Linked DNA regions of Nothobranchius furzeri. The main gene of each other region encodes a partner of the protein of the gene in region 3 in a complex. Links are inferred from orthologs where the notes say so. Each region holds a gene or a part of one and is shown on either strand. Other genes may lie near its edges.

What was found. Proteins that work in one complex are often made in the same cells at the same time.
Region 1: crsp7 (region 3) and med20 share a complex: the UniProt entries of both Homo sapiens proteins name them as parts of the mediator complex. The link is inferred for Nothobranchius furzeri from reciprocal best matches to the Homo sapiens genes MED26 and MED20.
Region 2: crsp7 (region 3) and med12 share a complex: the UniProt entries of both Homo sapiens proteins name them as parts of the mediator complex. The link is inferred for Nothobranchius furzeri from reciprocal best matches to the Homo sapiens genes MED26 and MED12.

What each region holds. Positions count from the first base shown.
Region 1 is NC_091743.1:46,648,590-46,658,864, reverse strand, and holds med20 (mediator of RNA polymerase II transcription subunit 20), read right to left. Parts: upstream 6,141-10,275; 5' UTR 6,049-6,140; coding exon 6,035-6,048; intron 5,623-6,034; coding exon 5,477-5,622; intron 4,282-5,476; coding exon 4,028-4,281; intron 3,945-4,027; coding exon 3,723-3,944; 3' UTR 3,534-3,722; downstream 1-3,533. Other genes in the region: bysl (bystin), read left to right, coding at 6,409-6,682, 6,985-7,141, 7,257-7,395, 9,300-9,433. UniProt on the Homo sapiens protein: Component of the Mediator complex, a coactivator involved in the regulated transcription of nearly all RNA polymerase II-dependent genes.
Region 2 is NC_091741.1:82,295,151-82,305,375, forward strand, and holds the start of med12 (mediator of RNA polymerase II transcription subunit 12), read left to right. Parts: upstream 1-4,085; 5' UTR 4,086-4,143; coding exon 4,144-4,245; intron 4,246-4,875; coding exon 4,876-4,980; intron 4,981-5,083; coding exon 5,084-5,275; intron 5,276-7,849; coding exon 7,850-8,009; intron 8,010-8,117; coding exon 8,118-8,293; intron 8,294-9,322; coding exon 9,323-9,433; intron 9,434-9,718; coding exon 9,719-9,991; intron 9,992-10,089; coding exon 10,090-10,225. Other genes in the region: wu:fb13g09 (ATP-binding cassette sub-family C member 5), read left to right, coding at 1,140-1,229. UniProt on the Homo sapiens protein: Component of the Mediator complex, a coactivator involved in the regulated transcription of nearly all RNA polymerase II-dependent genes.
Region 3 is NC_091751.1:71,979,089-71,989,098, reverse strand, and holds crsp7 (mediator of RNA polymerase II transcription subunit 26), read right to left. Parts: upstream 6,811-10,010; 5' UTR 6,603-6,810; coding exon 6,531-6,602; exon of another isoform or gene 6,434-6,530; intron 5,688-6,433; coding exon 5,613-5,687; intron 5,527-5,612; coding exon 3,877-5,526; 3' UTR 2,782-3,876; downstream 1-2,781. UniProt on the Homo sapiens protein: Component of the Mediator complex, a coactivator involved in the regulated transcription of nearly all RNA polymerase II-dependent genes.

The DNA.
Region 1 (10,275 bases), on a different chromosome or scaffold from region 3:
TCAATTAATTAGTTACAAGGTGAGACAACAAATAGGGTTAACACCAGTGCAAAAAAGGATTCATTAATCACCAGGAAACTACATTTTTCATCCCTAGATCTAGGTCTGTCTCAAAGTTAAAATAATAATAATAAAATATGCATATATACAAAGGAAAATAAATAAGATGTTATTTAAAACAAAACTGGTGTAGCTTTAGATCAATTGCTGGACTGATCGTGAGCTTTGCTGAAACACTAAAGAAAATAATTCTAACCCTGACAACAAGTTTGAATCAGAAATTTGCTTATTTTTCTGTCTTTCAGCGTTAATATTCTGAACTTTATGAAACTTAATTTAAAATGTGATTCACTAAAGCAACATCGTTACAAAGCTTGGCGGATTTGTTTATTTGGAAACTAGAGTTTATGGACAAATCAGATGCTGCAGGCACCATCGCTGCCTCGGGTCGCAGCAACTGGTTCCTTGTTAGTTTAAACCCCTGTTATGTTGAGCTGCCGCCGCCATGCATGTTAACGGTCTTCTATAATCGCATCGAGCTGCTAACATTTTTCATTTAAACCACTTTCTGCTGTGTTTGTGTTAACTGCTGCAGCGTGGCTCGGACAGGCTGACTCCTTAACGCCATGCTAAGCTACTCCACCATCACCATGTTCAGCCAGAACAAAGAACACGGAGCCACTCTCTCCAGGAACCTCCAATAACTTTGTTGGTTGGAGGCAGCCCGGCTAACCGCTAGCTACAGCGGCTCGGCTCCGTGGGTTAGCCACGAGCGAAGCGGCGCGAATAAACACGCTTGGTTAATCACAGATTATGTTATTTGCTCGAAGTACACACTGTTAGCTTAAATATAACTTGCATTAGCCGCGCTGCTAACGCTCCTGCCGAAGACAATCGAAGTTAATCTAATGGTTGTTGTTGTTCGCTAACTAATGGCTTAGCTCGCGAGCAAACTGCGCCGTTAACCTTTTAAAAACTACCCCGGTGACATTCACCTCACCGAGCCGGTTACGCGGCTGAAACGAGGCTTGTTAGAAAGTCCGACGTCAGAAAGAGATCGGTGTTGTTAACATCGCCGACACTGATCCACCTATCCATCCATCCGGTACTCTGAGAGCTGCGGCTTGTTGTCCTCCGCACAGATTGAACAACCCAACTCTATCCGAGCTCAGACCCCACTGCTCTCATTGGACCGGGGCTGATCGGAAGCCGGGCTCTCATTGGTCCAACTGCGGAACAACAGGCGGCAGGATGGACCGTCCGTCCGTCCGCCCACCCACCCACCCACCGAGGCCACATGGAACAATAACCGAGGCTGGGGCCGTGCTGCATACCGGGGAACAGGGGGGAGGAGTGCTGGCTTCAAGGGGCTGAAGAGGCGGTAAAACAAAGTTTTGTAACAAGTGTGACACATAAATAAACAAATGATACAAACATTCTAATGTTTATGAAAAGCCTAATGAATGGAATTTATATGTTGGGCTGTTTATAGAACTCATGATATGCTACATTTGCATTTGCATCTAACAAAACAAAACAATTATCTATAGTAGCTAGGTCATGTTGTATATGGTAAAGGTCGTCTGTATATTTGTAAAAAAAAAAAAAAAGTAAAAAAAAAGACATTTAGTTATTGTGAGAAAAGCATTTCAGTATTTGCCAAAACAATTTCTTAAATATTGCAAAGTATTAAATTATTGTAAATACTAGTAATTGTTTAAAAAGAAAACTAGATATTTTGCCACATAGACAATAAATGCATAGGAGTATTATAAGTGAAAAATTGTTACACATCTTTAATATTTGTAAAATATAGAACAATGAAAAACTAAATATTTAATTTTAAAATAACTACGTTTATGAGAGATTTATCTCTTTAATAAGATTTGTACTACCCTGAGCCCGGCGCGGTTCCATCGGCCCGGCCCCCAGCAGCGCCGAGGGGTGCTGCTGAGCCAAGCAGGCCCAACAACATTCATCGTGTCGCGATGAGCACGGGACCAGAGGACGACGGTTGCAGATGAGTGGAAGAGATGCCAGGAGGAAGAGCGGGTGGACGAGGTAAAGAAATGGCCACAGAAGACCTGGAGGAGGTCAAAAGTAACATCACAGCAGGATCGATTAATGAGACTGATGGAGGAGGTGAAGGAGCTTAAAATACTGCTAACTGAAGATAAGAAGATTTCGGCCTAAGAGCAAAGAGTTGATGAACTTGAACAATATACTAGACGAGAGGATTTGGTGATAATGGTGGAAACCCGACACAGAAGCTACGCAAAAGCAGTAGAAGATCACGACGCAGCAGGAGAGGCGTCAGACAAAGAGCCCGAGACACTAGAGCAGCAAGCGGTTACTTTTCTGCACAGCAAGAACATAACTACTCAAAGAGATACTATCATCAGAACTACTCAAAGAGATACTATCATCAGAAACCTGCAGTGAACACGTCTGTTTTCCTCTAGTGGAAGACCTGTGTATTACAGGCGACAGGTAATAATAATTATACAGTTATATTTAATTACATAAATAATGTAATCACTAAGTCATTTAGTTATATAGTCCAGTAAACTGTTCATTTTATAACGTGTGTGTATTTTAATTTAATGCGTCAGACATGTGAAGGGTTAAACTGTTCTAACTTCAAATATGGAAACATTTCAACTTAGTTTTTACATCTTCTCCCCACATGTATTTCATGTACATTTTTAACTTTGGTCTTTATTTTGAATTAAGTCTCATTAGATGACTTTTCTTTACATTCCTAAATAATGTTATTGATAAGAAGCATCTCACTCTTGAATGTGAATTAAGTGATTTGTTGAAGTGCATGTGGGAGTTCTTGTTTTGTGTTCTAATCAAACCTTCAGGTCTTTGGGTTAGGGACCGGTGAACATCCAGGGAACAGACATTGAGGTAGTGGACTCTTATAATGACCTGGGTGTTCACCTGAACAGCAAACTGAGGCCATAACACAGATATTCTTCAGTAAGGGCCAGAGCACACTACCCGCTGATGCCACTGAGGTCCATTGGAGTGCAGGGGGTGCTCCTACAGACCTTGACTAAATGGTGGCATCAGCCATCTTTGATGGTGTGGTTTGTTAGGTCAGCAGCATAGCTACTGCTGAAAGACAGAGACTAGATAAGCTTATTGACACTACATCTGCCCTAGGATTTCTCCTTGATCTAGTGCAGGAGGTGGGATACAGGACTGGCTAAATTAGCATCACTTTTACACAATGTCTTCCACCCCATGCATGAAGCTGGGGAACTCCTACAGCGGCAGAATGCTGCATCCATTGGTGCACGGAGAGTAATCCCAGGTCCCTATTTACACATTTCTCCTTTCATGCCATCACTCCTCATTATAAACTTCGTCTATCTGCACAGATTTTTTTTATTCGATTGAATGTTTTAAGAATTTCTTGCATATGTTACAGGATTTTGTTCTTCTTTGCTCCTGATGTGAATGATTGCTGCTGTGACACCAACATTTCCCCACCGAGTGTAAGGAATTTTTACTTCTTGCAGAAATAGGTAGATTTTTGTCTTTATTTTTGTCTGTGTTGAGCATTTGCATCTATAGATTGTAGCTGTATTCCTTTTAACTGTATCAGGGTAAACAAATACAAAACTGAAGTTACAAAAATAGAACTATACAAATCATACGGTTTCCATAGGACCACATTTAACACACATCAATACAATCATTAAAAAATGTTATTAGTGCACATTGCTTCCTGTGATTTGTAACTTCCGTAGCTTGTTGAACAACTCCAGGTACTGAGTCATGGTGTCGACAGAGTCTGCTGGTGCAAAAAGACCCTCAGGCTTGGCAGCAAATACAGTGGGAAGCTCAGGAACATTGTTGCCAAGAAAAGACAGCATGAACTCCTTCATGAGGTTCCAGCAGTCCCCTGGAACCACACAGGGACAGTACTCCACCTGAGGAAAACACATCAAGGGTTAATCCTGTCAAAAAAGAGAACAATGGGCCTCTGGTCTAACTGATAATACCAAACTGTCACCTCCACTGATATCCCTCGAACACTGGAACTCATTGTGACCGTGCCAACTTTAATCAAGAAGTCACAGTAGCGATATCTCGAACCGCGACACTCCACCTTGTGTCCCTTGGCATTCTGGAAATGGGTCTTCAGCTTCACCATGAGGACGTCAAAGTTTGTGTCCGCTACCAAACAGGGTCCTCCTTCAAACAGAGCCAAGCAGCTCAGGGGAAATTCAGAGTTGTGCATTACATAAAGGAGCTTGGAGGGCTGACCTGTAACAAACCCAGACTTAAAGTGAGAAATTGCATGAAGAACAGCAAAATGTAACAATGCAATTTTTGCATAATGACTTTGCATGATTTTTTTATTTTTGGACACAGATTAGAGCAGCATGCTTATTAAGTTTAAAATTACACAAGTAAGTAGTAGAATCATACCATGTCCTGTTTATATAAATGTTGCTTATGAGGGATGCGAGAGCAGACACCTTTTTTTCTGGAGGACACTTGAGCTAAATTAGATCATGATTTACTGCTCTGCTAATGGACTCATTGGTGGAAACCTGGAAAAAAAAGACTAGTAGTAACTTAGAAAGATAAATGCCAAATCAAACGTTTATAGACCCCGGGTTGCGGATGTTTATAAAACATAAAAATAAAAACTATTTTTCAAGGAGCTTAATGTAAATGGCCTGTGTTTGTATAGCACCTTCACAGGGTTCTACATCCCCCCAAAGCACTTCACAACACAGTCACTCACACACACACATTCACACGCTGGTGGGAATGAGCTATGATGTCACTACAGATGCCCTGAGGCGCACTGACAAAGGCGAGGCTGCTGAGCACTGGTGCCATCGGCCCCTCTGACAACCACCAGCAGGCAAGGCAGGTTAAGTGTCTTGCCCAAGGACACAACAGCAGAATTCTTTGGTCTGAGCCGGGATCGAACCTGCAACCTTCTGGACAACCCGCTCTACCTCCTGAGCTACTGCTGTCCCATTTAAACAAATTTAAGCGGATTCTTGCAGTGGATGGGGCTTTTTAAATGTTCCTGACTTCTGGGGAAAGATACAGTGGAAACGTGGCTCATTTAACCTTGCATAACATAGTAATGAAGATTTACAGAAAACCTTTCTAAAACACACCAACTGTATTTTAATCTGGCTATTTTTACCCAATGGATGACTGTTTTTGTTAACCTTACAGAGAAATAAGATCAGTAAAAATGAAAATTACATAGCTTGACAATATATTTGTCACAAGGCACACATATCCTGGACAATTGAGTTTAAGTCAAATATTTGACATAATTATTAGAACATTTTCAAAAAGCAGAATTTAATCAAAGAAATATGACAAATTCCCCTGCAGCAAGTTGTATTAATAGCAATGCAGAAGACTATCCATCTAAAGCACCTAAACAACAGGAATGATAATATTTATATGGTTAATAGCTGAAAATTACCGCCAGCGTTTACTGTTGATTGATATGTTTCACAGTCTACACAGAAGTTGCCCTGCTTCACAGCTCCAAGCTGCTCCAGCTTCTTATGCAGAATGTCCACTGTCTGTTGGACACTCTTCCCCTCCGCCACGGGCACCTGGCAAACACTGCACAGCACAAGAACAACACAACACCGTGAAGCAACCTGTTCAAAATTGATCATGTGCAATAACATTTGAATGTCCTATTTCTGTTTACTCAATATGCTAAAATTCTGCTTACTGAACCCAACTAATATATATATTACTGTTCATTTTACATTTATATTATTTCTGTATTATTTTTTGTATAGTTTTCCATTTTGCACTAAAGAGAGTGGCACTCTAATTTCGCTGTACACCGTACAACGACAATAAACACTATTCTATTCAGTGTAAAACGGTTTGGAAGCAAATAAAGGCTACATTCACCGAGTTAGCTACACATGCCAAACGAAATCATATGCACAGCGTGATAAAATATATTACAAAAATATTATTACAGTTAGCATTTAACTACAACATAAGTAAATCTGCTTACCAAGTAACACCCATTGATTTCTCGCCTGCAAAAAACACTCGTGAAGCAATTACTTCCGGATTAACATTTACACTTCCGGTGCACGTAAACGACCTTGTTTCAGAAAATTAAAAAACAAACTCAAGAAACTTTATAATCATATTGCATAAATGTATGTTACATACAAACATATAAAATCAACATCATATAAAATGGTATGTTATATATATGTTTTTCAGTGCACAGACGTTACGTATATCGTCACTTCCGCCGTACGGTAATCTGCACGTGTAGAATACAGACTGTTTACAGAATTCTTTCTCCGCGTTGTTTGTGTCTCTAATGGTAAAACAAAACACGGACAGCGTCGTCGCAGCTTGAGTCACTCTTGAAAGATGCCGAAAGTGAAAAGAGCTAAAGGTGGCGGTGGAGGAGAGAAGAGTGGCGGAGGAGGAGCGGTGCCACTGGCCGACCAGATCCTCCAGGCGGACACGATCCGAGCCCGAGGCCGGGTGAAGAATCGAGACGCCCGGGTCGAAAGTGAGGACACCTACGTGGATGAACGTCTGTCAAGGAAAATCTTACAACAGGCCCGGATTCAACAAGAGGAGTTGCAGACCGAGTATGGCCTGGCACCTGAGCAGAGGAAAGCACCAGTCACTGTTCTCGGTATGATGGAGGGTTTCGGACCTTAAATTGGCAGTATTTTTTTTAATTAAGTCTGGTTTATCAAGCGTAGAAACCACGAAAGTGTTTTTGTAATTAGTTATACGGTGTTACTTATGCAACATCCCTTTATTTCTCTGCAAAAATAAAACTAATGACGAATGTTTTTTATGTGGACAAAATGTCAGACGATCACAGAGAAAAATAGTTCCCAGCGTGATCTTCTCAGAACTATTTAGGTGAAATAAGTCTTTGCTGAATGCATGAATAATATTTTCTAATGTTGTCTGACCTGTTTATTTTAGGCCCTGAGTCCCAGGATGCTGACTCAGATGAAGATTGGCCAGTTCTGGGAGAAGCAGGTGCTGGGGATGGTGATGTGGAGGGTGATACTGAAGTCATCGTTGATTCTGATGATGAGAAGGCCATTGAGATGTTCATGAATAAAAACCCTCCAATGAGGCAAGATTTCTCACAACTTTGTTTGAATTCTAGCTGTTGGAATTTGCTAAAGTCCACTTTGAGGTTAAGTTTATGTTCGTATACTCAGCTGTTTTCCTCTTTGTGACCATCACAGGCGGACCTTAGCTGATATTATCATGGAGAAGATCACAGAGAAGCAAACCGAGGTGGGAACAGTGATGTCTGAGGTATCAGGGGTTCCAATGCCCCAGCTGGACCCTAGGGTGACCGAGGTCTACCGGGGTGTCGGTAAGGTAAGTTATACAGTTGTTTGTGTTATGTTGAAATGTGTTCTCCTGTTAAAAATGATCTCACCTACTTTGTTCTTTTCCCAGGGTATCTGCAGGTTTAAGGGTGCCAAATTTAAGACTTTTTAAGACCTTTTTAAGGCCACTTTGACCAAATCTAAGCTATAATTTCCGGCTATTGCCTGGAACCGGTGCCAACCACGTCGCGAACGTGGGATTATCCATCCAGTAGCCATTAAACTTGCCCTTCCCCATGGCTCAAGCTCCCACTAGCTTAACCAGCTAATGTGCTAATCTAAAAATAGCCACCTTTCACAACCAACTGAATGTGTACGGTTCTGCTTACGCCAACATCATACACACAAAAAAGCTGAACACTAACTAGAAATTCACGAAAATGTTATAGTAATAAAATAATCTTGTTTATTGGGTCTTTGGTCATTTAAGACCTTTGGAAACTGTATTTAAGGATTATTTGTAATTTTTAAGGATTTTTAAGGCCTTAAATTTGGAAAAGCCAATTTAAGACTTTTTAAGGACCCGCGGATACCCTGTTTTCCCCTTTACTTTAGTTTTTAAGCAACTGTATTTTAAAGGTCCTGTATCATGTCATTTTACACCTTCCAGAGCAACAGTAGATGCAAGATACTGTTGATTGTATTGTATTGTAGTGTACTGTTGGCACTTCAGAGATGTAATTTGTTTATTGAAATTATTTTTGTGAGACATTCCTTCAACCCAGAAATAAGATGCTTGGATTCAATTAAACCCAGCCCGACCCCCCCTCCCCCCCCTGTATGAAATTCACAGTAATATACAGCTGCAGACTTGGAGACTGCAAATCCATGGCAACATCTCTTCTCAAGTCAAGCTGCAAACACACACAGAAAAAAGATTGCCGAGATGGTAGATGCTGAGATTCTCGGCCTGAATTATCTGAATTATGGTCCCAGTCTGTCCCTGACACTCACCCACCACACTTTATAACCATTTGGCATTTGGTTAGCATTTTGGTTGTACTCACCACTCTGGCTCTTCATTTCTTGGTTTTAACACTGGATCGACGCCAGTTTCAAGTAGTCATCTGTCTGAAAACCCACTCTGGTAGTGGTTTAACAAGCAGTCTATGAAATCACAGCCACATTCTGGCTCGGTTTTTGAGAGCTTCTGAAGATAAAATCCTACCAGAAGAAACTTCTTCTGAAAGACTGGATGGGGTCCTGTATCTCTTGTAGACTGAAATAAAATTTTGGGTTCCAGGCATTATCAAAAGTGCAGACTAGATTTTTAAAAAATCACTTATTTACTTCTGTGGGGATTAAACTTATCTCGCTACAAAGAGAGACTGTGCATTAGTGTTTACAGTCCAGGGGAGGAGGGATCCAGACTGAGTACTGCCTGGATGGGGAGGAGTGGGACATGATGACACAGCAACAACTCCATCCAGGCTTCTGCAGCAGATGGACACACCGGCTAGGATTTGCAGCTGAGACAGTAAAATGCGTGCACGAAGCCAAAAATCACTTTGGGGTGGTTTTTTAATGAGGAAATAACTATTTAACAAGTTCCAAAAAAGTAGATTTAGCATGATATATGATCTTTAAGAAATATGTTAAAGATCTGAATTGGTTTCTGGGAAGTTTTTGTTATTGTAGCAAGAAAATATAAAAATATGCCAAACTTATTTAAAAAAAAAATACAGAAATCAAGGAATCAGAGTTCAGTTTCCTCATGTCAGTTGTGTTTTCCTTTTTGTCCTCCTTTTAGATTGTTTGTTTTTAATGAATGTGGGCTTCATTTTATCATTCCCATCTCCAAACTTCGGAATATTGTTCAAACGATGATTTTCAGATTTAGCAAGTGTTTTTCAAGTCAACTGTAATTTCATCATTTCTCTTCCTATCTTTTAGGTTTTGTCAAAGTATCGCAGTGGAAAACTGCCAAAGGCTTTCAAAATCATCCCGGCTCTTTCAAACTGGGAACAGGTTCTTTATCTGACTGAGCCTGAAACCTGGACTGCGGCAGCCATGTACCAGGCAACAAGGTGATCTCCCTGTTTGTGTTCCATTTACTGAGTTGATCCCAAATACTCAAATTTGAACAAGGCTTTGATGATGTCATATAAAACATTTAATGTAAATGTTCTTATGTCTGGATTTGGGAGTTAAAGACGCATTCCTGAACTTTGCGGATATATGCTCTCTGTCCAGGGGCGCAGATAGGATTTTCAAACTGGGGGGGGACAAAGTTCCAATGTACCCTCCCCCAAACACACGCACGCACACACACACACGCACACACACATACACAAACTATTGCAAGCGCCTCAACTAGAGCTCAGTCAGTTTGTGTAATTTCCTCCAATGGTTTACGTAAAAACTAACACTTTTATATATGTGTTTGAAGCCGTTACGCAGTGGAACGCTGGCAACAAAGCTCTGCCTGATCAACACTATGAATGATAAATGACCCGCACTTGTATAGCGCCTCTCAGAGTAAGGACTCCAAAGTGCTTTACACTACAGTGTATCATTCATCCATTCACACACACATTCACACACTGATGGTGATGAGCTACGATGTAGCCACAGCTGCCCTGGGGCGCACTGACAGACGTGCCCCACTATTTAAATCAGTCATTATTCTCCCAAACAATTACTAACCAAAACCTCATGCTTTATGCAAAACATTAACTGATTTTCAGCATACCAATCTTTACAGAAAACATAAAAGCCCTAAAAAACTGCACATAAAATACATTTAAAAAACTAAATTCACTTATCACTTAGAGCAGTGGTTCCCATCAGCCTGACCAACAGATGTTCCTTCGTATTTTTACGTTATTTATAAATTTTCATTATATTTGGAAAGTTTTAATTTATATAT
Region 2 (10,225 bases), on a different chromosome or scaffold from region 3:
GCATAAATGCAACACGACTCTGCCGACTGAAACACACTCACAAGCTGAAGCTGCTTCCACTCGACTGTGTGAGCAGAGCAGCACCTTAAAGGATATTTCAGCAGTTATTAAGTATTTCTGTATAAAAGTCAAAAACATTTCTGTGACAATAACCGTGTAATACTTATTGTGTAAGGAGTCTATAAGCTCTTAACCATCACGCATATATTAAATAGCACTTAGTCGAGTTGGAGCTAAAAGAAATCAGCCTTAGTAATGTCTAAATATTTCAATCTTAATGGTGCATTATGCAGAAATGAAGTAAAAATGACATCCTGTGGTAAAATGTGGTTTCTGCAACCACTTTAAACAACTCTGGAGCTTTTTGCAAGCCATCGTCAAATTACAATTGTCATCGCTGCAAGATTAGCTTGCAGGAGACACGGCATCCCCACACTCACTGTTGGTAAACAGTAGTTACGTCCCTCCTTCTTTTGTTTTGAAAGGAGAAAAACTGACAATCCCCACAGCCAGCTGGATGTGAAATAGGGCTGGGCAATAAATAAAAAATGTATCGTTATCGAAATGTCTGACTCGTATTGAAACAATTTGTCCTATATCAATAAATTTGATAATAAAAAAATTTAAAGTTGTGTGTAGGTTGGCAACGTTCATGTACCTTTAAGAAGCTGTACTACCTTGAGTCACAAGTGACCCAACTCAACGTAATACATGTGACAGCCCCACCTAGTGGACAACTTTTGTTTCTGCACATACCTGTAGTTATCGTCCATGTATCGTTATCAAGGTGAAATCCTCAACATATCGTGATATTGATTAAAGGCCATATCCCCCAGCCCTAGTATGAAATGTTTCAGTGTAACCTTCCTTCCAAAATGACTGAAACATTAGACTCTTTCGGAATTTTCTCACTGTAAAGTTCTCACTATATTCTTACATACTGCATCTTTAAAGGCATAGTCAATTATTTGCCCCTTTTCTGGTTATAAAGTAGAAATGTGTGTGTCAAGATCTAACAGGGTGGTTGAGCACAATCCAAGTGTATTTTTTATTTCACCGTCAATGAGAAAGTTTCCAATTTTTAAGTGCTAATGATTTCCCCTTTGTCCTTTTTGGGTTGTTGTTTTTGTTTCCTGTAGATTTTGGAGTTCGACTCTCCTGCAGCTTTGCTGGCAGATGAAAACTCAAGATTCAGAGCCATGATCCAAGCATCGGAGAGCCAAAGCTGAAATGATAAATAAAACACTGGAGTTGAGAGCTGCCCAAAAAAAAAAAAGCAGTAAAAACACATTCAAAACTACACAGTTTCACCAGTCCTGTCATGATGTGCTGGAAAAAGAAAGAATCCAGCGATGGGAGATCTGTGTAACAGTGTCTGTTTTCTTTCTTACCACGTCAAAGATCCAGAGACTAAATTCATGTCCTAAAACACGTCCAGTCTCACTATGCAAAATGAGATTCGACGAAACTGTGGTGTCCACTGCCGTTTCACACAAGTTATTTCCTAACGGCCAACTGCAAATCAAACTGAGTTCAGACTCAAACAGCACTTTATGTTTTGTGCGGTGCTTCCTTTTTCCTTGGAAGGTCAGTAATCAGTGAAACTTTAGATTAGTTTTGGTCTTTTTTTGTCACTAAGACCTCAAAGTGCAGGAACTTACTTAAGATAGTATTTTGTTTGCTGTGTCATAATATTCAGTTGAAGTATGTGAGGATTTTTGTTAATTATTCATTACAGAGTCTCTAAGATAAACACTTGTTTTACATTCCTATGAGGCACTGTCTAAAAGATTTTGAAAATATTTTCGGTTTTTTTGCTGCAGTCTAAAAGAATAATATTTGTGCGTATTATTTCAAGTGAGATATGTGCCTAGAGAGCTATTTTTTTAAATAATGGAGTCAGCCATGTTAGACTGTGTGCAAGCAAAGTACTGTGCTTCAAAACTGAGCTAAATGTCCCAAATGCTGGAGTTTAAAATGTGCACATTTTACACTTTTTTTTGCTAATATTCTACAAGCAAAGTTGTTTCGATGTTGAATACAATCTATTCATGTGTTGCATTTGAAAAGTACTGTATGCAATTTGCAACCAGGGCAGGATGATGATCAACATCTGGATGTCTTTAAATGTTTCTCCAAATCTGAAGATCATAGACTTTTTGCCTTATAGTCAAGTATTTGCTGAACAATCGTTAAAAAGTGCAATATGTTATTATTGCTTTGATACTTTTATAACATTGCCTTTTTACACTTGGGATTGTAATGTTGCAATACTTTTGTTGAGTGTTCAATAATAATATAAGTTTTTGAATAAAATATTTTTATATAAATGAAAATGTCTGGTTTTCTAAATGTAAAAGAGAGATGTGGACATGTGAACTATGTGGAGAAACTTGTTTGTTGTTATTTCAGATTTAAAACAAATTTGATAATTTAGTGTTTTTGGTGCATACCGTTTGGTATTTAATGGTGCTTTTGTTTTAGCACCTCTTTTTTTTTTTTACCTTGATAATTGAAACTAATGGCTAAGTTGGGCCAGTGTTGCAACTGCTATCAGAATGAACTGAAATGTGAATAAGACATCCGATTTTAAGAAAACGCATTGCAGAAAATGCAAAAGAAAAATTCAAATTTAAGATTTAAACTTTAAAAAGGTAAAAATAATTTTAAAGAAACTAGAGTAATTTATCCTGAGACTCCATAGCCTTCGTCTAAAAGGTCCAGTGACTAAAGCCTACTGGTTGTGCAGCGCAGCAGGCTAAAGACCAAAGGTAAAAAAATGGTAAATGGCCTGTATTTGATATAGCGCCTTCTAGAGTCCTGGAACCCCCCAAGGCGCTTTACAACACAATCAGTCATTCACCCATTCACACACACATTCACACACTGGTGGGGATGAGCTACGATGTAGCCACAGTTGGCTTGGGGCGCACTGACAGAGGCGAGGCTGCCGAGCACTGGCTCCACCGGTCCCTCCGACCACCACCAGCAGGCAATGTGGGTTGTGTCTTGCCCAAAGACACAACGACAGCGACAGACTGAGCGGGACTCGAACCTGCAACCTTCCGATTACAGGGCGAGCACTTAACTCCTGTGCCACCGTCGCCGTAGGTGACAGATCATTTGCTGCTGTGGCCCCAGACTCTGGACCTCTCTCCCCCTGAGCCTGAGATCAGTGGCTCATTGGTCTCCTTTAAAAAGCAGCTGAAAACACCTGTTCAAGGTGGCTTTGGTGTGACCTTCATTACCACCCTCTCCTTATTCTGCTCTTTTTACCAATTCTGCCTACCAGGATCCACTGATTTCCCTCATTCCTATTCATTTTCTTTCTCCCTATTTCCTTACATTTATTCAATCAACACCTTTTAAAAAAAAACATGTTCTTTTTTGCAAAATTTTAAATCCCTTTTTAAATTTTTTCTATTTACATTTTTTGTTCTTGGATAGCACCTTGTGATTTTATCTTGAGAGCCGCTATAAAAAAGATTGTTTTCTTTATTTATTTCTTTTCTAAAAGCAGTGATGTATAGAGAGCAGAGATGCAGCTCCGAGCACAAGTTAACCCTCTGATTTAGTTAAAACATTTTTTTTAATTTTGTCTCGAACTACGGCCAATAAAAAACTCTGTGTACATATAATGAGTGTGATGTTTGTGTTCCTTTTGTAAAACATGTGAAAATTAAATCCTGCAGATATATATCTCTAATTTCTCCTGAAAGCTTATTACTTAAATTTTCTTGGAAGTCTTCCTTCTAAATTACTTTTTCCAAGGCTAATATATGAGCCTTCCTTAGGACCTTTTGTAATTTTTAAAAAGAAGTTATTGGGAATTTTGGCAATGTTGCTCCTTCAAATGTCCCTCCAAATGTTGAAATTGATAACCTTCGGAATGTTTGTTGAAGGTTTTTTAAGGAAAGGCAGCTTTGTTTATGTAGAACATTTTATTCATTAAAACATATTGCTTATTTATATTAAATTATAGATTTTACCAAATTAAATGTAATTTTTACACTTATTTTGAAATTTACGGACGACGCAAACCGAAAGTGTGGCTTTTTGCAATAACTGCTGGGACTTGTAGTTCCAACGAGCTGCTGCTGCTTAGTGGGGAGAAAAGCGTCGGCTCGGCTGTGATGCCGCTGGATGATGGCTGCCTTCGGTATCCTAAGTTACGAACACCGGCCTCTGAAGAGGCCACGGCTTGGCCCTCCAGACGTTTATCCCCAGGATCCAAAGCAAAAAGAGGTGAGGTTTCACCGTTTTGAGTGTGAAATCGAGAAAGTGCGATTTATTAGCGAAAATGTCCAGCAAAAGACGCTGCTAGCAAGAGTTAGCATGTTAGCAGAGCTGCAGACGTTTCGGGCCTCGCAGTAACAATGAGCTGCTCCTAGTTGTCAGATTGTTGGGCAGCTTAGTTGAAAAACAACCGGCTCGTTTGATAGCAGCGTTAGCTAAACTGGTGGGTGGTTTTCACGTTCACCCAGACTGTCACCACTCCTTTGTTTTGTGATAAAAAATAATGATGATCGTATTTCAAAAATCTGATGTTATTATTGATTTGGCTGCTTTACAAAAATTTGTTTTGATATTGAGTGTGGCCTAGCTAATTAGTGCTGCTTTCCATTTTGTGTCATTCTGGCTCCATATTTTTGTTGAAAACTAAGAAGTTTTTTTATTTTGTTTAAATCCGAGCCTATTGTTTTCTCAGATAATTTTGTAACTTATATTTATTTTTTGCTGTCAGTAAAATTAAGACCGTTCGAGCTTGATAAATGTGTGATTCGCTTGTCTGTGATCTGAGATTAAGAGGCTGAAATGAATTTATTTGCATAAAAACATTACATTTTCAGTATTTTACACTTTGATGTGTTTCAGGATGAGCTGACTGCTCTGAACGTAAAGCAAGGTTTTAATAACCAGCCAGCTGTGTCTGGTGATGAACATGGAAGTGCCAGAAATGTCAACTTCAACCCCTCAAAGGTAATGGCTAACATGTTAACAGTGATGCTGGACTGTGTCCCAATCACAGCCACTTGACACTAATGGTTCCTGTCCATCCTCCCTGGGTCCTGCTGCTTTACAGATCAGTTCCAACTTCAGCAGCATCATTGCAGAGAAACTGCGCTACAACACATTTCCAGACACAGGGAAACGTAAACCACAGGTCAACCAGAAGGACAATTTCTGGTTGGTCACAGCACGATCACAGAGCTCCATCAATAACTGGTTCACAGATTTAGCTGGGACTAAACCTCTCACACAGCTGGCTAAAAAGGTGAGCTGCTTTTACTAAATCACCTGTTTGGTTCGTTGACGTAACAAAAACTCCACCTATTTATAGGATGCTGTGGCGGAAACACTCTTTGTTTATTGATGTAGTTCTGGTTGCATCACTTGGTTGTGCTGTGTAATTTTCATGTCAACATTTGGTAAAAAGATGAGAATTTCTGTCAGTTTCAACAAAACGGTTTAGAAATTCATCACATATAAAAACTGGAGCATCAGCACAGATTGAACTATTTTTAGCAATGTGTGATTAAATGTAATAATTTTTGTTGCTTAATTATATTTGATCCTAAGTGTTAATGCATTTTCCCACAAAAAAGTGTAATCAGATTACTCCATTATTACCTTGACTTGTTGCTGTTGGTGCCATATGTCAGTTTCACTTAATAACTACATCCTTTATTGTTTTTATTTAACTACATGGTAGCTTGAGTTTTACACAAATACTGAAAGTAGGGCCCTGATATGAAGATGTTATCTTCGTTCTGTGCTGCCAGTTGTATTTGTGAGGACTCTAATCGATTTTCAGACTTGTTGACTCCTTTCCCAGCGGTTTATTCATTGATTGCTTCCTGTCATTAAAACAGAAGAAATATGGAACCTGTCTTCATCTTTAAAGGACTCAAAGCTTCTCCTTTATAGCAAATCATTGCTACATTCTTCTCATACATAATTAGTTGGGAAATCAGTACTTTTTCAGTTCCTGCATCTAATCGGTGCTTTTGTAATATTTTCTAAACTTTGTTTATATGAAATGATTTTCAGGTTTTGTTTTGTTTCCATGGAGATCTTACACAGAAAAGCAGTCCAGGTTTTTGGTGAACATGGTTATTGAGATGGATCCTGCTCTTTCGATCGGTTTGAGCGTTTTTTTTACCTGAACGTTCTGCAAACGCAGCAGCTACGGAGATGATCTGAATTTGCTGACGAGCACAGGGAGGCTGTGTTGGCTCTGTAAAAGAAGAAAAATTGGTCTCTGGTAGGGTTGTCACGGTAACCGGTGTGGCGGTAAACCCCGGTAAAAAAAGTTGACAATAATAATAACCGTCTTGTTTTTTAAAAATCTATTATCTCGGTGGATTACCGAAGCTGCAATGTAGGAGCGGTGACCCTTACCAGCCACCGTATCATCTGCTGAAGTTGCCGGCGGCACATGCGCACTTTGTTGTTTACAACCAAAACTTTCTTGAAGCTAAAGCTGAAATAATGGCCAAAGGAGGAGACGGCAGCGCTCAGGACATTTATTATCCCTCAAAGAAGACAAAGTGGGAAGTACGGGCATTTTTTGGATATTTGAAGAATGCCAAGGGACAGTTGATAGAAGACGGCTATCCTGTTTGCAGCACGTGCAGGAGAAAGTCTGTGAAAGGCAGCAATGCTTCAAATCTCATGACACATCCGCGTGACCATCACCCACAACTCTACAGTCAACGCAAGGCAAGCAAGCGTTAGCGTTTTAGCTAAAATGCGTGATCCGAGGATTTGGGTTGAGGGAGAATGCAACGAGTCGCTATATAAAGCAGCCGCAGCGCCCGCTACCTGCATATAAACCGTGTCGAGGACACCCCCATGTTGAAATGATGCTATGCATTACGGAGCTCCCAGGGGCAGATAAGAGTTAGTCTCTCTCTGAGAATAATTATGAATTTAACAATGATTACTGCCTGATGACATTTTCCCACATCTGCAAAGCTCACTGGAAGGACACAAACCGAGGACAATATTTTCCTGATATAGGGTTTTTTACTCAAGTAAGGGTAAAAAAGTATCTGATTAGAAGGCTACTTGAGTACTGAGTATCATCTGATCTAATATTTTTAAAATGATGACATCAAACAGACAAAAAATAAGAAGTTATGGGCAAATATTGGTGTTTTAAAGACTAAAGGGGAAAAATGTAAACAAATAAACAACATAATTACAAAATAACACATTTTAGGCAAAATTTAGACACAAACTGAGGACGATAATCTCCTGATATTTAGTTGTCTGAAAATGTAACGCGTTTAAAAAAATACTGCGATAATACCGAAAACCGTGATAATTTTGGTCACAATAACTGTGAGGTTAAATTTTCACACCGTGATAACTCTAGTCTCAGGTTGTTAAAAACAAATCTCCTAATTTAGCAAACCCTGTCTGGATTATTCAGGTCTAATGTTACGGCGCGAAAGCAGCTTAAATCAGTAATTCTGTGTTTAAATCCCTTTTTAAAAGCCACTATATTTGTGCATCTGAATAAACCAAATCTGTTTGTTGTCTTAGGGATTTTTTAACCCAAAACACAAATGCTCTCATTGTCGGCTGCTTTTGTAATTTTTATTTTACAATTTCTCACAAATAATATCGATTTTTGAAATCTTCATGTGTTTTCCTTGTTTTTAGTAAACCCATTGTGCTCTTACTTATTGTGCCGAGAGGTTTTTAGTTTCTTAGCCAAATTAAAGCAACGTCTGTTCATAGGGTTGCAAGCCCCTCACTGTGTTACACATACATATAATATGTATGTTTTATTGATGGTGATGTCAGCTTTGTGCGAATTTAATTTACGTTTCTGTTACAGGTTCCAATCTTCAGCAAAAAAGAGGAGGTGTTTGGATACTTGGCCAAATACTCTATTCCTGTCATGCGGTCTGCGTGGATGATCAAGATGACCTGTGCTTATCACGCAGCCATCACCGAGACTAAAGTCAAAAAGAGACACGTGATCGATCCTTGTATAGGTGAGAGGTGGATCGTTTTCATCTAAATGGTGTATTTGTAGTTTCATTTGATTTAGAAATGAGATTTTTTTTTGTCTGTTCCAACTTTTGTTTCTTGTTCGTTTGCAGAATGGACCCAGATCATTACCAAGTATCTGTGGGAGCAGCTGCAGAAGGTGGCAGACTTCTACCGACAGTTCCCCAGTCAGGGCTGCAGCTCGCCACTGCCGACCATGCCTGCTGATGTGGAGACGGCCATGAAGCAGTGGGAGTACAACGAGAAGCTCGCCATGTTCATGTTTCAGGTCCGTTTCTCCCACCGTCGGACATCTAAGCTGTTCCAGGATCAGATTTAGAGGAGTTTATCTGCAGCACCAGTTCTTTCCTGTTCTGCAGTCATTACATTTATTTGTATTTTCCTTTATTTTATTTATTTTCCTTGGTGAAAATTCAAACCCATGGCTTGTTACGAGACATTTCTGACTTTTTTGCGTCTGCACCTCCCAAACAAAATCTGCATTCAACAAATGAGATTAGTTTTGAGTTCTAATAAACGTGTACATTTTGAGTCATGCAAGAAAATAAAACTTAATTTGTACTTATTTTTTTCAAGATAAAGCCTAAAATAACCTTAGCTTTGCTAACGTTTGGCTAAACATAAGTAAGCGTGTTTCCTCACTACCTTCTTTTCATGCTTCCATCTCTACCAATTCTGCCTTTCTCTGGATCCTGTATCACCATTTTCTTATTCATTTATGGGCCATTCCCATCTGTACCGGGTCGGCCCTGCCCGGATAGCTCCAGTCGGCCCCAGCCTGGCCCGGTTGATTCCACACATCCTTGCCTAGTTATGCAAGGAATGCAGTCAGAGACATTTTCAGCTTCTAGGTAATCAGCATGATAATGAATGATGATGAATTGAGCATGCCTTAAGCCCATGTGGGCTGATTCGACCCACCAATCAGAGGCTTGCTCTAATGGAAGGTGTGAATTTGCTGTCAGCAGTGGGTGTGTTGGCCCTGGTCGGCCTGAAGCAGACCCCCTCAGAAAGAGGGCTGAAAAACAGTCTCGTTGCACCCTAAAAAAAGGCAGGCCACCAAGAGTCTTTCTCATTTTTTGAATTCAGTTTTTTTTTAAGTTTTCCCTTTTTGATATTTTTTTAATCCTTTTTTAGTCTACTATTTTGTTCTTGTGAAGCACCTTGTGATTTTTATCTTGAGAGGCGCTATATTAAATAGTTTCTTCTAAGAAAAAGCTGTCCGTACCAAAGGAACGTACAGATGAATAACTGATATATTTTAGCTGTTTTGACTAAAACACCGTGGCATTTTCAGGATGGGATGTTGGACAGACATGAGTTCCTGACGTGGGTGCTGGAGTGTTTTGAGAAAGTTCGACCCGGTGAAGACGAGCTGCTCAGACTCCTCCTGCCCCTCCTGCTGCAGGTAATCACATCTGCATTCACATCTGCGCTCCCACACAAATAGATAACACTTAGGAAACATTCTGGCTTAATCATCCTGCAGCTGCACGTTTATATCAAAACCTGCTCTGTGTGGGCTCCTTCCACAGCCCGTCATGTTTTTGTGTCTTCATCTGGCGGTGCTGACCTTTGCTAACAGCACCCACTGGGGCACACAGCCTTTCCTTTGCTGCTGCTCTGTAAGCTTACTGCTGTTAATGGACACTCGAGTGTTGTGGCTAATGCTGTGAATCTCTCTGCGCCACAGTACTCAGGAGAATTTGTACAGTCTGCTTATTTGTCACGACGACTGGCTTACTTCTGCACACGGCGCCTCAACCTGTTGCTAAGTGACGGTAGCCTGGGCCCTGGCGCAGGAGGGCACCCAGCACACGGCATCTTGACACAGCAAAGCAATGCCCTGCCCCCCACCCCGACCTCCCAGCCAGCTGGAGGGAACCAGCCTCAGACACCTTTCACAGATTTCTACATTTGCCCACAGCACAGGCCTCTGGTGTTCGGCCTCAGCTGCATGTTACAGGTACCAGACTTTATTCTAGCGCCCAAGTCTTTTAGGGGTTTATTATTATTTAAAACTTAAAGATCTTTTGCCTTTGTGTTTTGCATCCATCACATCAGAGCATAGTGTTGTGCTGTCCCAGTGCGTTGGTGTGGCATTACTCTCTAACAGACAGCAGAAACAAAACCGGTTCTCCTCTGGACCTCCTGCCCATCGCGCCCTCCAGTTTGCCAATGCCAGGGGGAAATACTGCCT
Region 3 (10,010 bases):
CTTATCAGCCTCCGGGAGTTCCAGATGGTGACATTCACCACCCTGATTTTCCAAGCCTTCTCGCCAGCTCAGCCCGAGTTTTGGCCGTCCTCTGGGAGCAGAACCCCAGTGCCTCCAGCGGCTCCACCTGCAGAGGCTCTGCCTCCAGGGGCTCCGCCTCGAGCGGCTTCGCCCCCAGGGACTATGCCCCCAAAGGTCCTCCAATCTCCCCGACCTCTACAGGCCCTCCGGGTCCACCACCATTACCCCTGTCACCCGGCCCTTGGGGTTCCAGTCCACCCAGCCGCCCGGCACTCTGGGGCCCCCCTTTTCCAAGGCCTCCCAGGCAACGTTGTCTCCTCCCGTGCCCCAGACGTAGACCCCCCAGACACTGTCGTCTCCTCCTGTGCCCCAGACGTAGGCCTCCCCCAGACTCCGTCTTGGCCTGAATTGGACATCCAGTGTTGCCCTTTAAAGGGGCACCAGTTGCCTTCATTTGAACCCTTTGGATTACCATTACCTGGATGACTGAGAACCTTCACCAGCACACAGAGGGCTTGGTCAAAGTAGTGGTGATTGGGGTTCAGCAGGGTCTGTGGAGGGTTAGCTGGCAGGACTGACGCACAAGTGTTGTCCGAGCAATGCTGGCATGTAGCTAGGCCAGTGCCAAGAGGGCTACAGCGGTTCGGGGTGTAGCGCTCCAGTAAACATCATGAGGTTCTTTTTTATTCGGACATGTAAGGTTGTGTTGTGAGTTTACCTTGACATGTTTCGACCGACGACTGCTATCTTCATCAGAAGTGTCAAAGATGTTTGTGTGACATGTCTTTATCAGCTGTTTTTCTGGTGGGCGTGACCAACCTGGATCTGTCAGATCTGCTGGGTCGGTCACGCCCACCTCCACTGGCTGGTCTTTGGAGAAGGAAATCCCAGGTGTGAGGCAGCTTATAGGCCCCCTCGTCTCTGTTCATGTCCCACTGTTCCCGTTTCCTTATTTCTATTGCCTTCCTGATCCAACGCCTGAACCGGCTGCTTTCTGTGCTGACAAGGATGCGTCACACCAACGTCTGTGACACTTCTGATGAAGACCGCAGTCGCCGGTTGAAACATGTCAGGGTTGATGTGGGCTGTTGAACGCTTCTCTAACCACGTCGGTGGACAGAAATATTCGGACATGTAAGGTTGTGTCGGGAGTATTCTCACGTCCCACTTTGGCAAGTTGGGATCTGGTCGCCCTACTCACAAGTCACAGTACACAACATTCACAGGGTGTAGACCCATTAAAAGTATTTGGTCCAGAAGATATTTCCTAACAAATGTTAAACTATTTTAAAGGGAAAATTGTGTTTGTGAAAAAAAAATCATCTAAACTAAATTCAACCTGCTGCATCAGCAGAAGTATTCTTGTTATCGTATCAAGAGATTTTTAACTCATTTATTTTGAACTGTGAACATCTGCCACGAGCCATGCAGGACCAGGCAGCAACATTATTACAGCCCAAAATGTGAGAGCTGGAAAAAACAGAGAATCGGGAATGTACCGTATGATGTCACACCGGATGGCGTCGCATCAAATCCATTCATAAATAAAACTTATTTCATAATAAAAATGTTACCGTTTGTGAGCATCTGCCTGTCAGACCTCTTATCGGTTGTTTTTAGTAGCTGAAGGTTACAATAACAGTTTACTGCCTCGGTGTGTTTTCACCTGTAATAGTGTGTGTGCTGCTGTAACGAGTGGATTTCTCCACTGTGGGATTAATAATCTGTTCTAATCCATTTACAAATGCCATGAAGGGCAGACCACGACATTAAAATAAGCGACTGTTTTATGGAAACATTCAACTTGCAGAGTTTCTGCCTTTACCTCACTGCTTACAGGGTATTCTCTTGTTTCCTTTGACTCTTTGGTTCCCACTTTTATTAGTCGATCCTGGCTCCACCTCTCCGTAGTCCCACTTGTGTCAAGATTTAGATGGAAAAGTCCTTTTATGGAAGGAAACTTCCCAAATTCCAGAGTAGTGGGCGTGGTCCAGAGTAGTGGGATCCTCCCTGCATTCCAGACTCGCCAGACCAGACAAATGACCCCAACTCCTGAGTCACTGGCAGGAAAAAGGTTTGCAGAAGTTACTCAGGTGACGTAATGTCGGCGGTCTTGGTTTATCAGGCTGAAGCCTGAAATAAGTAAAACCCCTGAATGAACATAAAATACATCCACAGGAAGTGGAATTCTCAGGTCAAAGGTCATCACAAACTCATGTGCTTGTTTAAACCAGCTGGTGGGTCCTGACCTTAGGAGTACCTATAGAGCTTCTCTCTGGAATGTCCAACATCCCCTCAGGGCTTCTAATCCTAGACAAGGTAATAAAAACTGGCGTGAGTGTGTGTTAGATGATGACATCATCCATGTGCATCAGCAGCACTGATTCAGTCCACTCATCCTGTTGCACCCAGCGTGGTTCTGGTCCCGTTCAGTAAGGCTGGACCCAGATACCGTTCTCCGCCTAGCTCTTGCCCCGCTGAGACCTGGCCGCAGCTCCACAGAAAGATTCAGATAAGGGTTGAATCACACGAAGGCCAGTACTCCGTTCTAAAACTCCACACACAAACCTGTCAGCTTAGTTAGACATGTTTACGTTTTAGTGCCTTGTTGGATCAGCTGTTCAGACACAGGGCGGTGTGCGCCCCCTGATGGACAGACTAGAGAAGCACAACAAGAAAAACATCCTGGGCCTGAAGGAGGAACACACATATGTTCACCTCGGTGGTGACAGAAGCAACATGAAGGACCCACAAGTCAGCTGGCAGAAAAAAGATTTAAATCATTTTATTTTCAAACAATTTAGATGTTAAACACTGAACAAATAAAGACCCAGTTGAAACTCAAGAAAAACTATTCATCAGTTGTAGCATGTCCTTTATTGCCAGCTGTGTTGTGCAGTTTGTCTGCAGAGCCGCTTCTCCTCCGATCAGCAGAAAACGGTGCGTATACCAGAGTCGCGACCATCACAGGTGTGGATGTTCTCACCGACGTCTACACAGGCTTGTGTTGTGGAAACACTTCCAGACCTAACGTTTACCAAGGCACAATGGTAGGGATGAGAACGAGGACCGCAGCTGCAGAGGCCAACCTTCATTTAACTGGTCAGATAATGATTTATGATGGCTTCTTTTAAATAGAAATAAAATTTAGAAGGTCACTCATCACACAAGGAAGGGCCGAAATGTTCTCCACCTCTGACTTTTTATGTCGGCGGTTTAAACAGGAAACGGGGCGACTTTGGGCGCATGACTGAGACACGTCTACATTCACATAAAGGCCGTTAAACTCCAAATGAAAGTCTGTTAAACAGCTTCTGAGGATCCTGCTTTAATCCCGCCCACCTGACGGTTTCTGATGGACACGAGATGTGTGTGTCCACGGGCCAGAACCATCAAACCAACCCAGAGGTGCGGCTATGCCTGCATCAGTCACCGAGGATTAGATGGGAGAAGAAAAACATCCCATAAATGAACTAAATAGATGTTTAGATAAGAAATGCACCCTTCAGTCCAGATGAGGCCTCTTGTTGCAGCTCATGTGCTCCAGCGCTCCTGGACACACTGGGCTGGACAAGACCAGCAAGCCTAGCTTAGTCCAGCCCAAGTCCTCTTAACGTCTTCATCACTACCAGTGGTTCATTTGGTTTAAACTGAAACTCAAACAGCCCTTGATGTTAAAACTTAACTCTTTAGGTTTCATACCAAAGTCTCAACACTCTCACAGGCGGAGCTGTGGCGACGGGAGTCGAGCGGCCTGGGCTCGTACCAAACTCGCAGCAGACAAACAAAATCACAAAGGATCTCGTCTCCATCGAGACAAAAGGTGAAAAAGAACCAGCAGCCGTTCTAAAGCCCTCAGTCCAGGCACACATATGGCAGGATGTTCAGTCTGCTTTCGTCTCCATGAGGGTCCAGTGATATACACGCTGTCCAATCATACCAGGCTCCCTTGGTGTCGTAACAACCGTTCACCCCCTGCCAGGTCTGTGTGTGTATTCTGTCCAGGTCCTCATCCGTCACCTCCCGACTCACACCTGGTAAATCTCCTGTTAAATGGTCCGTCTGCAAAACGTGTGTTTTATTTGAGTCTTTAGTCTCCCTTTCTTCCCTTTTTAGATATTCTGACATGAAGAAGTGTGCGCTAGGGGCCTGGACCCCCGAGGAGGTGAGCACGTTGCTCTGAAGGTTCAAGTAGGATTGGATTATTTCATTTCTAGTCAGCTCCTTCCAGTTGGTCTGGTGGAAGGGGTTTGAGCTGGGACCTGGGGCGGGGGCTGCACAAGGGGGCTGTTGGACAACGACTTCAGTTCTCTGCCTGGACTCTCCCAGGTCCGGAGTGGGGGGGTCCTCTGTTGGAGAAAGTTCTTTATGCACCAGAGGTTTGATCTGACCAGTGACCGGGTCAAATGTCAGTCTGCGTTCTTTTAACCGCACAGGTTTAGTCGTGTCCTCTAGTTTCAGGCCATCCAAGTTAACGGAGTAGTCTCTAGGCCTGTACTTCCTCCTTTTATGCTCAGAGTTAAGGACTGGCCCATCAGGGTCATCAGACACACTTAAGCTTCTTTCAACCACCAACCTGTGGACCTCTGAGTTCTGCGGGGGAGGCGGGGGGGAGGGGGAATCCAGTGTTGCAGATAGATCTTGGGGAGAGCAATGAGAGAATACCTCTGATGAATTAGCAGAGGGCACTGAAGACCGAAGAGAAGAAAGTTTTTCACTGTGAGACACCGGTGCTGGGGAGGACAGAGGCTGGGAGAAGAACAGGGGGGAGTCTCTAGAAGATGGGCTGGGGACCGGCGTTCCCTTTGCTACGTACGCTGAACGCTTAGAAACGGGGTCTTGCTTTAGGCTCCTGGGACTGGAAGTGAGACTGCGGGGACTCCTCGCTGGGTAATAGCCCCCGCCCCCTTCTTCCAGTTTAGCTTGCTGTTGCATCACAGCAACTTTAATCAACGAGGAAGTGCTAGGTGCTTTGGCCATGCCAGGGGAGCTGGGACGGGGCTTGACAGCATTAACTGGAATTCTGTTTCCTTTGTCATTTTCAAGGTGGTCTGTCCGAGGCCTGTCAGGAGAAGGAACGACCTCCTGGTCGGCCAACGCATCGGCACCACCAGCAGTCCCGTTGGTGGGTGGCGGAGAAACAGAGTCATCAAACGCCGACAACCTGGAGATTTTTTCTGTTACGTACACGCCACTGTCTCTGTGCTCTGCCCGCCGCTTGCGGTTACTTGACTTCTCAGCCTTAGGCGAGTATGTGTTGTGAGCATCACTTCGGATTGTGACTTCTGTGACCGCTTTCCCCGATACAGAAATGTCAGGGGGAGAGGGATCGGTTTTGCAGGGATGGGAACTGCCATTGGTAGACCCCGGGACACTTGCTGAAACAGCCGGCCCAGGTTCAATCAGTTTTTGCCAGTTTCTCAGGAGTTTCTTTGCACGCCTTGCAAGGTCTTCATCCTTGGTTTTCCTCCTTACATCATTAATCAGTTTTCCAAGTCGAGTTTCCTGAAAATAAATAATTAAAAAGTGAAAACTATTTTGGCACCACAGCCTCTGTAGGCATTAACCGCCTATGACACGTTCATTCTTACCTCAAGTGCTTCTTTGGTAATCGGATACTTCTCAAGACAAGCGATCACTTCCAATACAACCACCATGTTGCATATCTGCAACAAGGACATGCCAGCAGTTAGTAACCCCCAGCTTCTACTGGTGGCAGTAATATTTAGATTTACAGCTGTAGTCTGTGGATGAAAATGTAATCACACTGGACAATCCCACCCAATCACATTCCCACAGTAACAGGAACTCCAGAGATCTGGACTAACTGCTCCCTGACTCCGGGGTGGAAAACAACATGTTCATCGGGAGAAACTCAGCTGGATGTTTAGCTCCAGAAACCGAACGATGTTGCAAAGCTGATGTGGCACAGAGACACTCAAAAATACCTGGAATCATCTCAGCAAAGGTTTATGAACTTGGAGCAAACCGAGCATCTTGTCGACAGCGTCAGCCCTAGCCCGAGTCGGTGGACCTGCCTGTGTTAGCTAGTCAGGGTAGTTAGCATTTAACTTACTTTAGAAGGAAGGAGCATTTCCTCAACGCTATTCCAGCCACTTGGTTCCCTAAACTTTGTGATTGTTTAAATAAAACATTTTCACTAAAACTGTGCTGTTTGGGATAACTTAAACTTTTCTTTAGATGAGATGATTTCGTAAAACAACGACTGGATTGCTCCTTTATACCAAATCTGCTTTGGTGTTAAGCTACGTTAGCAGCTAACAGGCTACATAACGGCAGATATCCGTCCAATCAACGCAGCGCTGCTGCTAAATTAGCTGGCATGCTAGCTGTCAACTCGCCCCGAGCCTTTTTGTCACCGAGACATCCGACGTGTCGAGGCCGAGCGCACCTTTCAGCGTAGTTTGTATAAACAGCGACGTGCCACCCGAACAGCTGCGTGGATGTTGATAGGCAAACAAGCTAGCGTTAGCTTTAGCATTGCTCACATTGCTCTGACTGTCAATGGCCTGCAGCAGCCGGTCCTTCATCTGCTGCGGGGTTGCTGAGACCGTTGTCATTGCCTGTTCGGTGCGATCCAGGAGATGGAGGGAGGAATCCTCCAAAACGAAAGCCGGGTGACTCAGAAGCCGCTTCGGGAACACGTCGGGCGCCCGAGCAGCATGCTTTCTGTCGCATGTAGGTCTGAGTTGATCTCACATGGAGTCGGAAATATGTGAGCGGAGCGGAGTCGCTGCTGCCTCGGACCTCCTCTCACTACCAACTGCTGGATGCCTCAACGGCCTCCTGCTGCATGCTGGGATACGATGTGTCTACGTCATCACGTTCGTACGTAACCAAGTAAACATCCCGACCACAGTGACGTTTTTAAATATAAACTTTGTGAGTTGTTTTTCAGTAAATATTTGATTGACCGATTTTATATGAAACGTTTAAATTAAATTAAATTCAAGTTTATTTATGCAGCAACTTGGTGGACTGAATGACGGACTGACAGTTATGAAAAACCTGTTTATTACAGATGATACATGTTTGTGATTATAAAAATAACAGATCTAAGACAGATGCTAAAGCACATTGTGATTTCCTACGGACCTGTGAAAAGGACAGCTTTTGAGAGCTTCTGGCTCATGCTGTCACACTGAAAGCTACGAGTGGCTAATCTTGCAAGGTGGTGCATCCTCAGCTTAAAGAACAGGGAGACAACAGATGTCAACAGTGTACGGGAGTGACACTCAGTTCCGTACGGTGTCTCACTGATGAGCTCCCCGAGCAAAAACACATCCTCTGACCCGATCCTCTTGTGCACGATGTAGATGACCTCCAGTGGTTTGATGGGCTGTGATCGTCTGCCCACTGATGCCTGGCGAATTGCCCACTCTGCTGCTCTGATGACCCTCACAGCACCTTCAGATGGGACCACAAGACCCCGTTGTTCTGCAGAGACAGCAAATGTAGCTCTGGTCATCACAGGCAGATGCAGCATCATCACCAGGCTGGCACGGCAGACATCACAGGACAGCTTGGTCATGGCTCGCCGCACAACAAATCCTGAAATTACAATTACTAATGTAACTGGACAGTGTGCTTGTCTTCATACTTTACATAAGCCTATAGAACAACACGGTGTCAGGTGAGAAATCAGACAAGAACTACAGTTTGTCTACCTAAAGTAATCATGATTAGTAAGTGTGGCATTAATTCCTTGTATTTATTAATCAGGGGGATTTGATGAGCCAGCAGTTTTTCTAAAGACTACAAACATCTTTTGTGTTTTTCTTCTGACCGCTTTTTTAGGTTCTTTTTGAAACACGGGGAAGGTTTTTTACCTGCTGACACTTTTGATTGTGTCTGCGATCTTCCTCAGAGCTGACCCCACTGAGCGTTTTTTTTACACTATCTGAATGAATAATAGTTCAAAAGCAAAGCAGATGACAGAGACTTATCAGCCTAACACAGTTGAATGTTTGTTATTGTTAAATCGTATGAATGACACGTTGCCGTGACTGAAGACATCGTCTATTAGAGCATCCATAAGAAGCACAAAAGTCAGGCATGCTTGTTGTGTTTCACGCGTATTTCGTGTCCCATTGATCATTTTTCCTTGACCACAAAAACAAATCATGACATTCCAATTAGATGACGTCAGCACATCTGTTGCACGTACGTTGATGAAGCCGTATGGAGTTGTGAGAGCAAGCATTGCTGGAATCCGAGTGTTCACTCGTATTTGTTCGTAGCGAAAGATTCATGGTAGTTTTGAGGGATTTTTTGGCTGCTGCAGGCCCCCGTACTTGTTACCTGGTCACACAGGTGGGTGGGCTCAGCCCATCTCGCCACACAAACAGGAAAAAAGACACCTGAAACTGTATGAAGCATGACGGCTAAATATGGGAATTCATCTTAATTATTACAGATGTGACCGGCTACTGCTAGCTTGCTTTTGTGTCATTAGACCAAGAGGGGAACTCCACCTGGCAAAAGTGAACCCTACTTGAAATGAACAAAAGTTGCATATGCCGGTTTCTGCTGCAGAGATTCCATATCGAAAGTGTAGACTGGACACAGGGCGGGGCTACACATAGAGATCTGGCTGCTGCCAGGTTAGCTGTCATTGGTTATTGGTCATAAGGTTTCTTAGAACTTTATTGAACTCCGAGCATAAAGAAATACCAACACCTCAGCACTTTGTTATTTTTGTGAAAGTTAAAGTAAAAATTTTTATTCTGGCTACTGATTTGTTTAGTCTTTCACGTGGGAATATCAAACTTTAAGGTTAATTAACTAAATTCAGTTCATTTACATAGCCCCACGTCAGGACCAGAGTCGTCTCAAGGACCTGCACACAGTAAACATTCCAATACAGGTCAGGTCATTAAGCCAATCAGTAACACGTTTCCAATAAAAGGAACCCAGCAAATCGCATCGAGTCACTGACTAGTGTCAGTGACTATACAGCAATCCTCATACTAAGCAAGCATGCAGCGACAGTGGAGAGGAAAACTCCCTTTTAACAGGAAGAAACCTCCAGAGGATCCTGGCTCAGTATAAGCAGTCATCCTCCACGACTCACTGGGGATGGAGAAGACAGAGCAGACCAGGCTTATGATGGAAATGTGGAACTCGGAAAGTAAAAACTGAAAAGGTGGACTTTTGCATAAAATAAAATAGATTTCATTGCAGTATTTTTCACTCTGGAAGACAATCCGTGGTTACTAAGTTCAGGGTTAGCAGTTTACTGGAGCTGCAGTATAACATAGCCTGGCCTACCAGACTCCTCCTCTGTTTAATTCTACACAGAGAGAGTCTGGTAACGCTCCAATTCAAATAACCCCACCCTCTGAGAATTCTAGCCAAGCCGATCAGCGCCGAGCACACCGCGACGCTCAGTTGCTCATAACAAACAAACATGGCGGCTGAAGCGGGGTTCGATGCGGCTCTTTCCTCTGTTCTAAATGACTTGAAAATGTCTTTAAAACCAAAGCCTTTCTTCTATAGAAAGATGTTTTCACCGTCAGCAGGTGCAATTTTTGATTACAGCTAAAAAACTACAGCGTTGCACGGTACATTCGGCATTTGCGCCTTTCTTCTGATTGGTTATTTTTGAGCTGGCCAGTCCCGCCCCTCATGTGCCTCTGCCTGTGAGTTACCAGACTCTTTCTCTGAGTTAAACAGAGGACGAGTCTGGCAGGCCAGGCTAAGTATAATCTGCTTTCTGGTAACTATTTTACGGATGCTGATCCACAGGTATGTTTGATGCTTTTATTAGAGGTTTCTCTGCTGCTGTGGCCCCCAAACTCTGGACCTCTCTCCCCCTGAGCCTGAGATCAGTGGACCCCGTGGTCTCCTTTAACCCTCCCACTGACCTAATAGGTGTGGCCCCACGAGGAAAGTTGACCATTGAGCAGGATTGATGGTTTATCCCTTGGGTCCACGTGGCAGGGGTGAGGAGTGAGCACCACCTCACC